Caenorhabditis elegans: one gene and its partner. The protein of the gene in region 1 purifies or fractionates together with the protein of each later gene. This does not show direct contact. Each region holds a gene or a part of one and is shown on either strand. Other genes may lie near its edges.

Region 1 (4,776 bases):
AGATGGCTGAAATTGAAGTCTTGTCCGAGTTAATCGTATCCCGTTTCCACAAATTCGTGACAACATCTGAAGAATAATTTTTCACATTATAAGTTCAATAAAGAAGAGGCAAGAATGGAACTTGTGCGGGAAATATTCAAATAATAAATTTAATTAATTAATTTCGGTTTAATTATAATTTCTTCTGAACCATTGAAAGCTTTTCAGATCTAAACATCAAGGATTTTTAAACAGTTATTCTAAAACTCTGCAAACAAAAATAATAATGCCCGGAGAATGAAAATAACCATTTTTTGTGAACAAAAATTCTTTTTTGCATTTTATTTCAACAAATTTTCGAACAGAATTCAGCTTAAACAGCTTCGAAATTGAAAAAACGGAAAAAAATGCCGTCTAAATTTCACAACGACACTCCGCAATCCCGCACTCCCAGTGATGCAATTTTGAAAACTTCCCGATTTTATTTATTTTATTTACAAAGTCACGTAGATAGTAGGTTATAGACCTTCCTATTGGTATAAAAAAAATTGTAAAATGAAAAGAAAAGCATCACACCTCTTTATTTCATACAATATTTACAGAATCTCACTTTTAGCAGTAAAATTGAGAACTAAGCGACAAGTTGAAGTGCACTTTCTACCAGAAATTCAATGGAATTTTGAAAGAAAACTAAAGCTAAAAAATACACCAAGATACAAATACCGGTAGAACAGAAAAGGAGGGTACAGCGTTCAAACAATAAAAGTTTAAAAATCCGAAAAAAAAATGCAAAGAACTGAAACATGTAGAAAAGTGAAGAAGTTGCATTGAGAAGCAGCCAGGAATGTTTAATGTTGAATTTTTCAATATTCTGAATAGTATTTAAACCATGCCTCCGGGTTCATATTTAGCCCATGGGTTGTCGTCAAGAAACTTTTCAATAACCTGAAAATCATTAGAAATTAACTGAATTTATTACAGGGTGGGCCAAAAGTATGGTAACACATGAAGCGCTCTTTTACATGAGCTTTTCGCGTGACTGCCACGTCATACGTACATTCTTCTATCGAATACTGATAGCTGAATAAATTTCCTTCAATTTGACTCAAAATTTGTAATGTTTCCCAATAAGGTGCGATCTTTATCACCTCGACAATTTGGCGAACCCTTTCGAAAAAACGGTAATTTGGCACGCGGCACTTCCCACACAAACACACCTCCCATGCACGCCAATAATTTTCAGATGTATGATTTTTATGTTAAATTTAAAGTTAAAGAAGTGAAGAAGCGTTTTTAATTGTTTTTGTGGCATATAAAAATTTTCTGTGTCGACACTGGCGCCTAGCAAGAACCTTTGAATATTTCATGAATTCAACTTTGCGAAATTTACTCAGTTTTTTTGGTTTCGCAAGGCGTAACGTCCCACAAAATCATCCGAGCTCAATTTTCTAAAAAAATTCTGGAAAGTCAGGTCAAAACGTCTCGAAAAATACTAAAATGAATTTTTCTGCATACTGCTACTCGCCGCTCACATCCATCTTTCTGGCGACTATGCCATTCAAGACTTAACCTACTGCCGCAGTCCATGACAGAAATACCGTGATAGAAATTATTTGGATTTTTGTTTTTATAGAATCTCTAGACCAAGAGCATTCTTTGAACTATAAAAACTTGTAAGGCACTTGATGGATTCCTCGAGAAAAATGTAGAAATCCCGCAGAATGCCGACTTGCGTGCCATAAAGGTCGTGATCTCAAAAGTTCTGAAGGCCTGCAGCGATGCGGATGGGAATATTTTGAAAATTCAAAACGTTCATCTGGTCAGTATTTTATGGAGAACAAAACTTGTAACAATTGATGTAGTAACTCTTTCCACTAGTAAAGTTATAGAGCTGCAAACGTGTTACCATACTTTTGGCCCACCCTGTATAAATTTCCAACCTCTTTCAGTGCATAATTCGGAATAATTTCATTTTCGGTAAGTGGTTTTCTTGTGACTGGATCGAAATGGCCAATTCTTCTCAAATGCTGCACAATTTCTTCTCGGTCATACGTGATTCCAGATGGAACTATCACCGGCTCTTTCATCAGTTCCAGTGTAATTTTGCCGCAGAGCATCTCAGGAACCTCCCTGTTTTGCCGTTTTTCTTGTGTCTAAAAAATGATATTTTGATTCTCTTTGATCTCTCGTGATTTAGGAAATATTACACTCACGATAGTTTAGTATGCTTAATTCTGAAAGTATATTTTGAACCGGTTGAAAAAAGTTGGCAGGATTCGGAAACTCGTTTGGTTCGAATTAGAAACGCTTAGATATAAGAATTTGGGAATAGTATTACTAAAGTTTCAAAAAACTTTCAAGAAAAAGTATTTACCGCTAAAGTGAGTTCGGTTAGACGTTTTTTAGCCATATCTGCTCTTTGCAACTCCTCTGGGTTTTCAGAATTTTCTTGACGATCCTTTTCGATCAAGCTCTCCAAATACGTGTGAAATTCAACGTCTTGTACAATTCGCTTTGACTCCTCCTCCTCGTACTTTTGATGGCGTGCCCGTTTGAGGGCGTTCTCAATATCTGGAGCGTTCTGAAACCACAATTCCGTTTTAATAAACGCCGTTCAAAAATTTCTACCGTGATAACAGCATTATGGTAGAGCGCTTTGGAGAGACAGCTTATTGCTTCACTGTACTTTTTGCTCTGTAGAAATACATTTCCCAAGAAGTATAAAGGCTGAAAATGAATTGAATAACTAATTAACTTCAAGAGTTGAAAGCTTACTTTCACTTCGTTTGGGCTCAGTTCCAGTGCCCGTTTGCAGTCTTCTTCAGTCATCTTGAGGTTGTTAAGCTAGAATATATATTACAAAAGTTAAAGAAAAGTTTTAATCGAAGTATAAATACCTGAAAGTAACACATTGCTCTGTTCTGATAGTATTTCGGCAGAGGATTTACTTTGATGGCTTTCGAATAGTGATCAACGGCATCGTCATATCTGAAAGTTCAAAGACATGGGATTTATTACACATAAATGAAAATACCTTTTATTCATATAACACTTTTTGCCATTAGTATTATGTTGTTCGGCGCCGCTTGACATGCTGCAAACGCTGAAAATAAGCGGAAATTGTTCTAAAAATCGATTTTGAAAAGCATGATGCGGATAGAGTTGCGCGTAAGCTCTGACGCATTGTGTGCAAATTAAGCTTGCGGTGTTTGCGGTGTACTCGCTCCAAGCCAAAATTTGTTTTTTGCCGCAATTTTTTATATTTATGTTTTTTTTTAACAGTTTAATTTTTTTTTTTCAAATTCTGCTCCAATTTTCGTTTTAGTTCAGGGTATGGTGCAAACCAGAAAATCATATGGAACTCCATCCAATTACATACCAACATCGAATAAACGTAGGAGTCTCGATAGTTCATCAAGGCTTTATCCTGATCTAACTGAACAAATAAGTAATGCAAGAACCGAAAAGACTAGCGAGCAACAAGATGAAAATGATTTCACAGATGCGGATTTGAGTTTCAGTAGCTCACATGGATCAGAAGAATCCGATGTGTCATGTAACGAAGTGAATGAAAAATGGAAATACTGGACTGTTATTGGAATAGTTTTCATTGCGATTGTTGTGGGAGCATTGATTAAAGGAAGCAAAGTTACGGTTGGTAAAACTACACGCGGTATCGGAATAATTAACAATTTTCTAGACTAACGAATCGTATGAAAGTTACATCAAATCAGTCCGATCTGTCATCAAGAACGAGTTTCCTACAATTTCGAAAGAAAATCGGGATCTCTTAAGACTAATCGGGCAGAAAATCTATTTGGAACCAGAAAATCATGCTCCGTTGGTTGTTCTTGTTGGGGGAACACCGGCCAAACAAATTGCCGAAGCTGTGAATCGAGCTGTTCAAGATGCTAAAAGTGATGAGCATACTACGGCAGGAAAATCATCAATTAGAGTGGAAAGTGACACTGATAGAGCCGAGTTGCATGCGAATTTGCAGGAAAGTGAGTGATTTCAGAACCTCATAATATTTTATGTTTAAATAACTTTTTAACATCTCCAAAGTAATGTGAAAATTCGCTGAATTTTGAAAATATAATGCATTATTTCAGTCCTCGGACCCGCTCTTATTTCACAATCATCACCTCGAACAGCTGTGATTTTGGATGTAGACCTGCTAAAATGGGATGCAGTTCTTGTTCTTCATGCGTTCTCAGATCACGGAAAATATCCAGTTCCCAAAACAATACTTTTTCTGACTGTTTCTTCACAACAAGATTCAACGATGGACATTGCCAACACAAGTTGTGATGAGAAAATGGTCCAGTAAGTGGTTTTTGTAGATCAAAATAGTTAAGAAATTTTTTGATCTACAATTTTCGCACTTACAGATTTCTAACGAAACGCTGGATTGAGAACGGCGGCTCTTCAGACAACATTCCACCGATTATTGCACGAATTTCTTATTTTTTATGTGTTTAAAATTTTGCCGGTACATTACCTTCATTTTTCACGGGTTTTTATTTTTTAATTCTGTAATTTAATCCAAGGTTTTACAAGATCAGCTAAATAGTTCAAGGAATTCTGTGTTCATTGAATAAAAATAGTAAAAGTTTTACATGTTCGTATAAATCTCGTATATTCGCTTTAAAAATGCTGTCACTATTTTATTTTTTTATTGATCTGTTTTCTAAAATGATTAATACAGGATGCGTAGACGTGAGCCTGGGAGAGATGTTAAACGTGCAGCTGAGGAAGAATTTATCGAGTTAGAGAGACGTACGGATACGTACGAAG
Region 2 (4,547 bases), on another chromosome or scaffold:
TTCACATGATTTGCTCACAGTGCATGCACACAAAAAGTTATAAGATCTGAAGAGAGACGCAGACAGATTATTCAAACAGCAAGGGCTCCCACCACCGGAGAGGATCTGCGGATTCCGCCGTAATTTTACACTATCCGTCGGGGGCCGGACACTACTACACTGCCCTTTCCGCTGAACAGACGTTTCTATTCGTTTTTCATCGATTTTTGCATAAAGTTCGGGTTTAGTGGGTTTAGTAAACCTAAGAATTTCTAGGTTTTTTATGAATTTTAGGTCCTTTTTTTGAATTTATATAATTTATTTTAATGTAAATACTATGAAATTTTTATTTTGATTTTTTCCGAAAAAAAAATATCAAAAATTCCAGAAATATTTCAGCCGACCCATAGCCGCCGGGTATAGCACTAGAGCCTCACGGCAGTACATATTTATTTAGAAACTCTAGTATTCCACGTGAAAAAATATATTTAAATATACCAGAAATTTTGAAGGAGTTGACGACTACAGTACTCCTTAAAGGCACACGTTTTTCTGATTTCAAGAAAATTTATCGGTTCGTGCCGTAGTTTTTGAGAAATCCGAGTGCCGTAGTTTTTGAGAAAAAATTTTCCTTGTGGTTGCCCATATAATTATTTTCATGACGAAAATCTGAAACGATGTTTTATGGGTCTGCTAAATATTTATCATACCCAACTTTGGTCTGCTAAATATTTAGCATACCCAACTTTGGTCTGCTAAATATTTAGCATACCCAACTTTGGTCTGCTAAATATTTAGCAGACCCATTTGGGATATTGAGTTTATCCTGAAATGATGATTTCCTTTGTTTAAATCCACTCAAATTCCGTTTTTTCTCTGAAATCCTCTAATCCCCTGAAAAAAACCTAAAAATATATTTTTTTTACTATATAAATTCGGATTTTTCCAGAAACCCCACATATTTTCGACTTTTCCCGAACTTTTCCCACTCGTTATCTCTATTTCTCTTCTATTCCCTAGGATATCTCTCCCGCCTGGGAGCTTTTCGAAAGCTCCAGAGCACCTGGGCGGAGCTCCCGCGGCAACTGGATTTTTTACCGTTATTCTTCATTCATTTTTCCAGGACATTAACAAATTTTCTTGCAGTGAAAATTTTTATTTCAAAAAAAAAGAAAAGAAAGTCAATTTTAGGATGTTATACATCTCCAAAATTCGTTAGTTTTAGCTTTAAAATCAAAGTTTTCATAAAAATTAAATTTGAAATCCCTCCAAAAAATAGTCTGCGCTTCACACTCTCTAACACGTGCCGGTGGAGCGCGCTTGCATTTTTCCTTTTTTGTTAATTTTTTTTTGCGGGAAACTTTTCGGGAAAATTACTCTAAAACTCAATAAAAACAGCTTTTAAGTGCATTTTTCTTGAAAATTAGTTTCAAAAATGATATTTTAATCAGTTTTACACCATTTTTGTCGATTTTTCCTCTTTTATCCGTCGAATTAATAGTATCTCCTGACAAAAATAATGATTTTATAGTTTTTTTTTTTTGGTTTTCAGCAATGGTTGCTCGAGTACAGACTGCGGAGGAGATCCGCGACGAGGGAAATGCTGCAGTTAAGGATCAGGATTATATAAAAGCTGATGAATTGTTGGTTTTTCTGAAATTTCAGTGGAAAACTGAAATTAAACTGATTTCCAGATACACTGAAGCTCTCCAACTCACCACTGACGAAGACAAGGCTCTTCGGCCGGTTTTGTACAGAAATCGAGCAATGGCTCGGCTGAAAAGAGACGATTTTGAAGGAGCACAATCGGATTGCACGAAAGGTTTACAAAAAACCTGGAAAATTTGCTGAAAAACCTAAATTTACAGCTCTGGAATTCGACGGGGCCGATGTAAAAGCTCTCTTCAGACGATCGCTGGCTCGTGAACAGCTTGGAAATGTTGGGCCAGCTTTTCAAGACGCAAAAGAGGCTCTGAGGCTCTCGCCAAATGATAAGTGCGTGGAAAAACTAGGCGAAAACCGATGAAAATTAAAAGAAAAATAATTTTTTCTGGCACTTTCCAGTTATATTTCAAAGTTTTTATGACCAAATTTCAGTGAAAAATGCAAAAGTTGCAAATTTTGGGTCTGCTAAATATTTAGCAGACCCAACCTCCCGAAACTGATTTTTAAAGCTAAAAATTATTAGAATTTTCAGACGTTTCTCTCCGAAATATAGCATGCCAATAGAAAAATTGACAAAAATCAAGGTTTTCTCATCGAAAATAGCAAAATAACTTTTAAAAATCTACAGAAACTCACAATTTTTGTTTAAAATGCCAACATTTATAAATTTTCTAAATATTTAGTTTTAAATTTGTAATTTTCTCACTTTTTTCTGTGAAAAAATATGCAAAATGAAACTGAAAAATCCACTAAAACATGTTTAAAAATTTATCTTGAAGAAAAACGTAGGAAATTTCAAATTTGCAGCTAAAAAATCAGCGAAAAAATTTTTTTTTCAAAATTTGAGGAGGTTGGGTATGCTAAATATTTAGCAGACCCAAGGAAAAATATTTAGCAGACCAAAGATAGGTATGCTAAATACTTAGCAGACCAAAGATAGGTATGCTAAATATTTAGCAGACCAAAGAAGGGTATGCTAAATATTTAGCAGACCCAAGGTGGGTATGCTAAATATTTAGCAGACCCAAGGAAAAATATTTAGCAGACCAAAGATAGGTATGCTAAATATTTAGCAGACCAAAGATGGATATGCTAAATATTTAGCAGACCAAAGATGGGTATGCTAAATAATTAGCAGACCAAAGATGGGTATGCTAAATAATTAGCAGACCCAAAGAAAAATATTTAGCAGACCAAAGTTGGGTATGCTAAATAATTAGCAGACCAAAGTTGGGTATGCTAAATATTTAGCAGACCAAAGTTGGGTATGCTAAATATTTAGCAGACCAAAGATGGGTATGCTAAATAATTAGCAGACCAAAGTTGGGTATGCTAAATATTTAGCAGACCCAAGGAAAAATATTTAGCAGACCAAAGATGGGTATGCTAAATATTTAGCAGACCCAAGGAAAAATATTTAGCAGACCAAAGATAGGTATGCTAAACATTTAGCAGACCCAAGGAAAAATATTTAGCAGACCAAAGATAGGTATGCTAAATATTTAGCAGACCAAAGATGGATATGCTAAATATTTAGCAGACCAAAGATGGGTATGCTAAATAATTAGCAGACCCAAAGAAAAATATTTAGCAGACCAAAGATAGGTATGCTAAATATTTAGCAGACCAAAGATGGATATGCTAAATATTTAGCAGACCAAAGATGGGTATGCTAAATAATTAGCAGACCAAAGTTGGGTATGCTAAATATTTAGCAGACCCAAAGAAAAATATTTAGCAGACCAAAGATAGGTATGCTAAATATTTAGCAGACCAAAGATGGGTATGCTAAATATTTAGCAGACCAAAGTTGGGTATGCTAAATATTTAGCAGACCCAAGATTTTCTCACAATTCCACTTTTAAGCACTTAAAAATTCAATAATTTCACTCAAATTTCTATTTTTCAGAGGAATTGTTGAAGTTCTTCAGCGTCTCGTAAAAGCCAACAATGATAAGATTAAGCAGACCACTTCACTGGCTAATAAGGTTGGTTTTGTGACCTGAAACCACGAATTTTAAATGAATTTTCATTGAAAAACCCCGAAATTTTCTCAGGTAACTGACATGGAAAAGCTAGCGTTCCGTGGTGAGGCGAAGGACACCGAACAGAAAATGACTGCGTTGAACAACTTGTTGGTTTTGTGCAGAGAATCTGAATCCGGAGCAACAGGAGTTTGGAATCAGGTATAGTTTTGGAAGCTGGACGAAAAATCTACATTTACTGGGAAAATTTAATGGAACTTAAAAAAAAATTTAAAAAATGGAAATAAATTGAAAAATATACCGTATATTTGAAAAAAAAATGCAAAAAAAAACTGAATTTTCTAGATTTTCAGAGCAATTTTCAGATTGTTTTTCGAAAAATTTTGCAGTTTTTATCTAAATTTTTCCGATATTCCTTAAATTTAATTGTCGAAAGTTCAATTTTAATTTTTTTAAAGAAATTTTTTTAAACTGAAAATTGTAATTTTTTGTAGATTTTTAAAATTTATTTTGCTACAACGAGAAAACCTTAATTTTTGCCAATTTTCCGATTTTGTAGAAACATTTGAAAATTCAACTTTTTAGCTTTTAAAAAATCAGTTTAAAAAAAATTATTTTTCAAAATTTTAATTTTATCAAAGTATCCCGAATTTGAATATTTTCCTGCAAAAATACCCAAAAAAAAAATTCTAATTTTTCCATATTTCCAGGGCGCACTTGTTCCATTCGTCCTGAACCTAATCAACGACGCATCGGAAAACGAGGAGGTTACCGTAACCGCAATCCGAATTCTCGACGAGACCATCAAAAATAGCGTCAGATGCATGAAATTCCTAGCTATGCACGACCCAGATGGCCCAAAATCCGTCCGTTTTGTGTGCCGGCTAATGTGCAAAAAATCCACAAAAGACTTTGTGG

Evidence for each region.
Region 2: the proteins of chn-1 (region 1) and unc-45 purify together in Caenorhabditis elegans (affinity purification with western blotting, with the first as the bait; one study listed by BioGRID). This does not show direct contact.

What each region holds. Positions count from the first base shown.
Region 1 is NC_003279.8:6,180,775-6,185,550, forward strand, and holds chn-1 (E3 ubiquitin-protein ligase CHIP), read right to left. Parts: upstream 3,083-4,776; 5' UTR 3,073-3,082; coding exon 3,014-3,072; intron 2,968-3,013; coding exon 2,877-2,967; intron 2,824-2,876; coding exon 2,755-2,823; intron 2,707-2,754; coding exon 2,608-2,706; intron 2,561-2,607; coding exon 2,354-2,560; intron 2,133-2,353; coding exon 1,920-2,132; intron 925-1,919; coding exon 862-924; 3' UTR 540-861; downstream 1-539. Other genes in the region: putative mitochondrial import inner membrane translocase subunit tin-44, read right to left, coding at 1-66; T09B4.2 (Torsin-1B), read left to right, coding at 3,313-3,633, 3,680-3,983, 4,092-4,305, 4,371-4,461; GPI mannosyltransferase pigv-1, read left to right, coding at 4,689-4,776.
Region 2 is NC_003281.10:490,016-494,562, forward strand, and holds the start of unc-45 (UNC-45/Cro1/She4 central domain-containing protein), read left to right. Parts: upstream 1-1,531; 5' UTR 1,532-1,533; coding exon 1,534-1,622; intron 1,623-1,673; coding exon 1,674-1,801; intron 1,802-1,847; coding exon 1,848-1,974; intron 1,975-2,391; exon of another isoform or gene 2,392-2,820; intron 2,821-3,553; coding exon 3,554-3,632; intron 3,633-3,701; coding exon 3,702-3,830; intron 3,831-4,339; coding exon 4,340-4,547.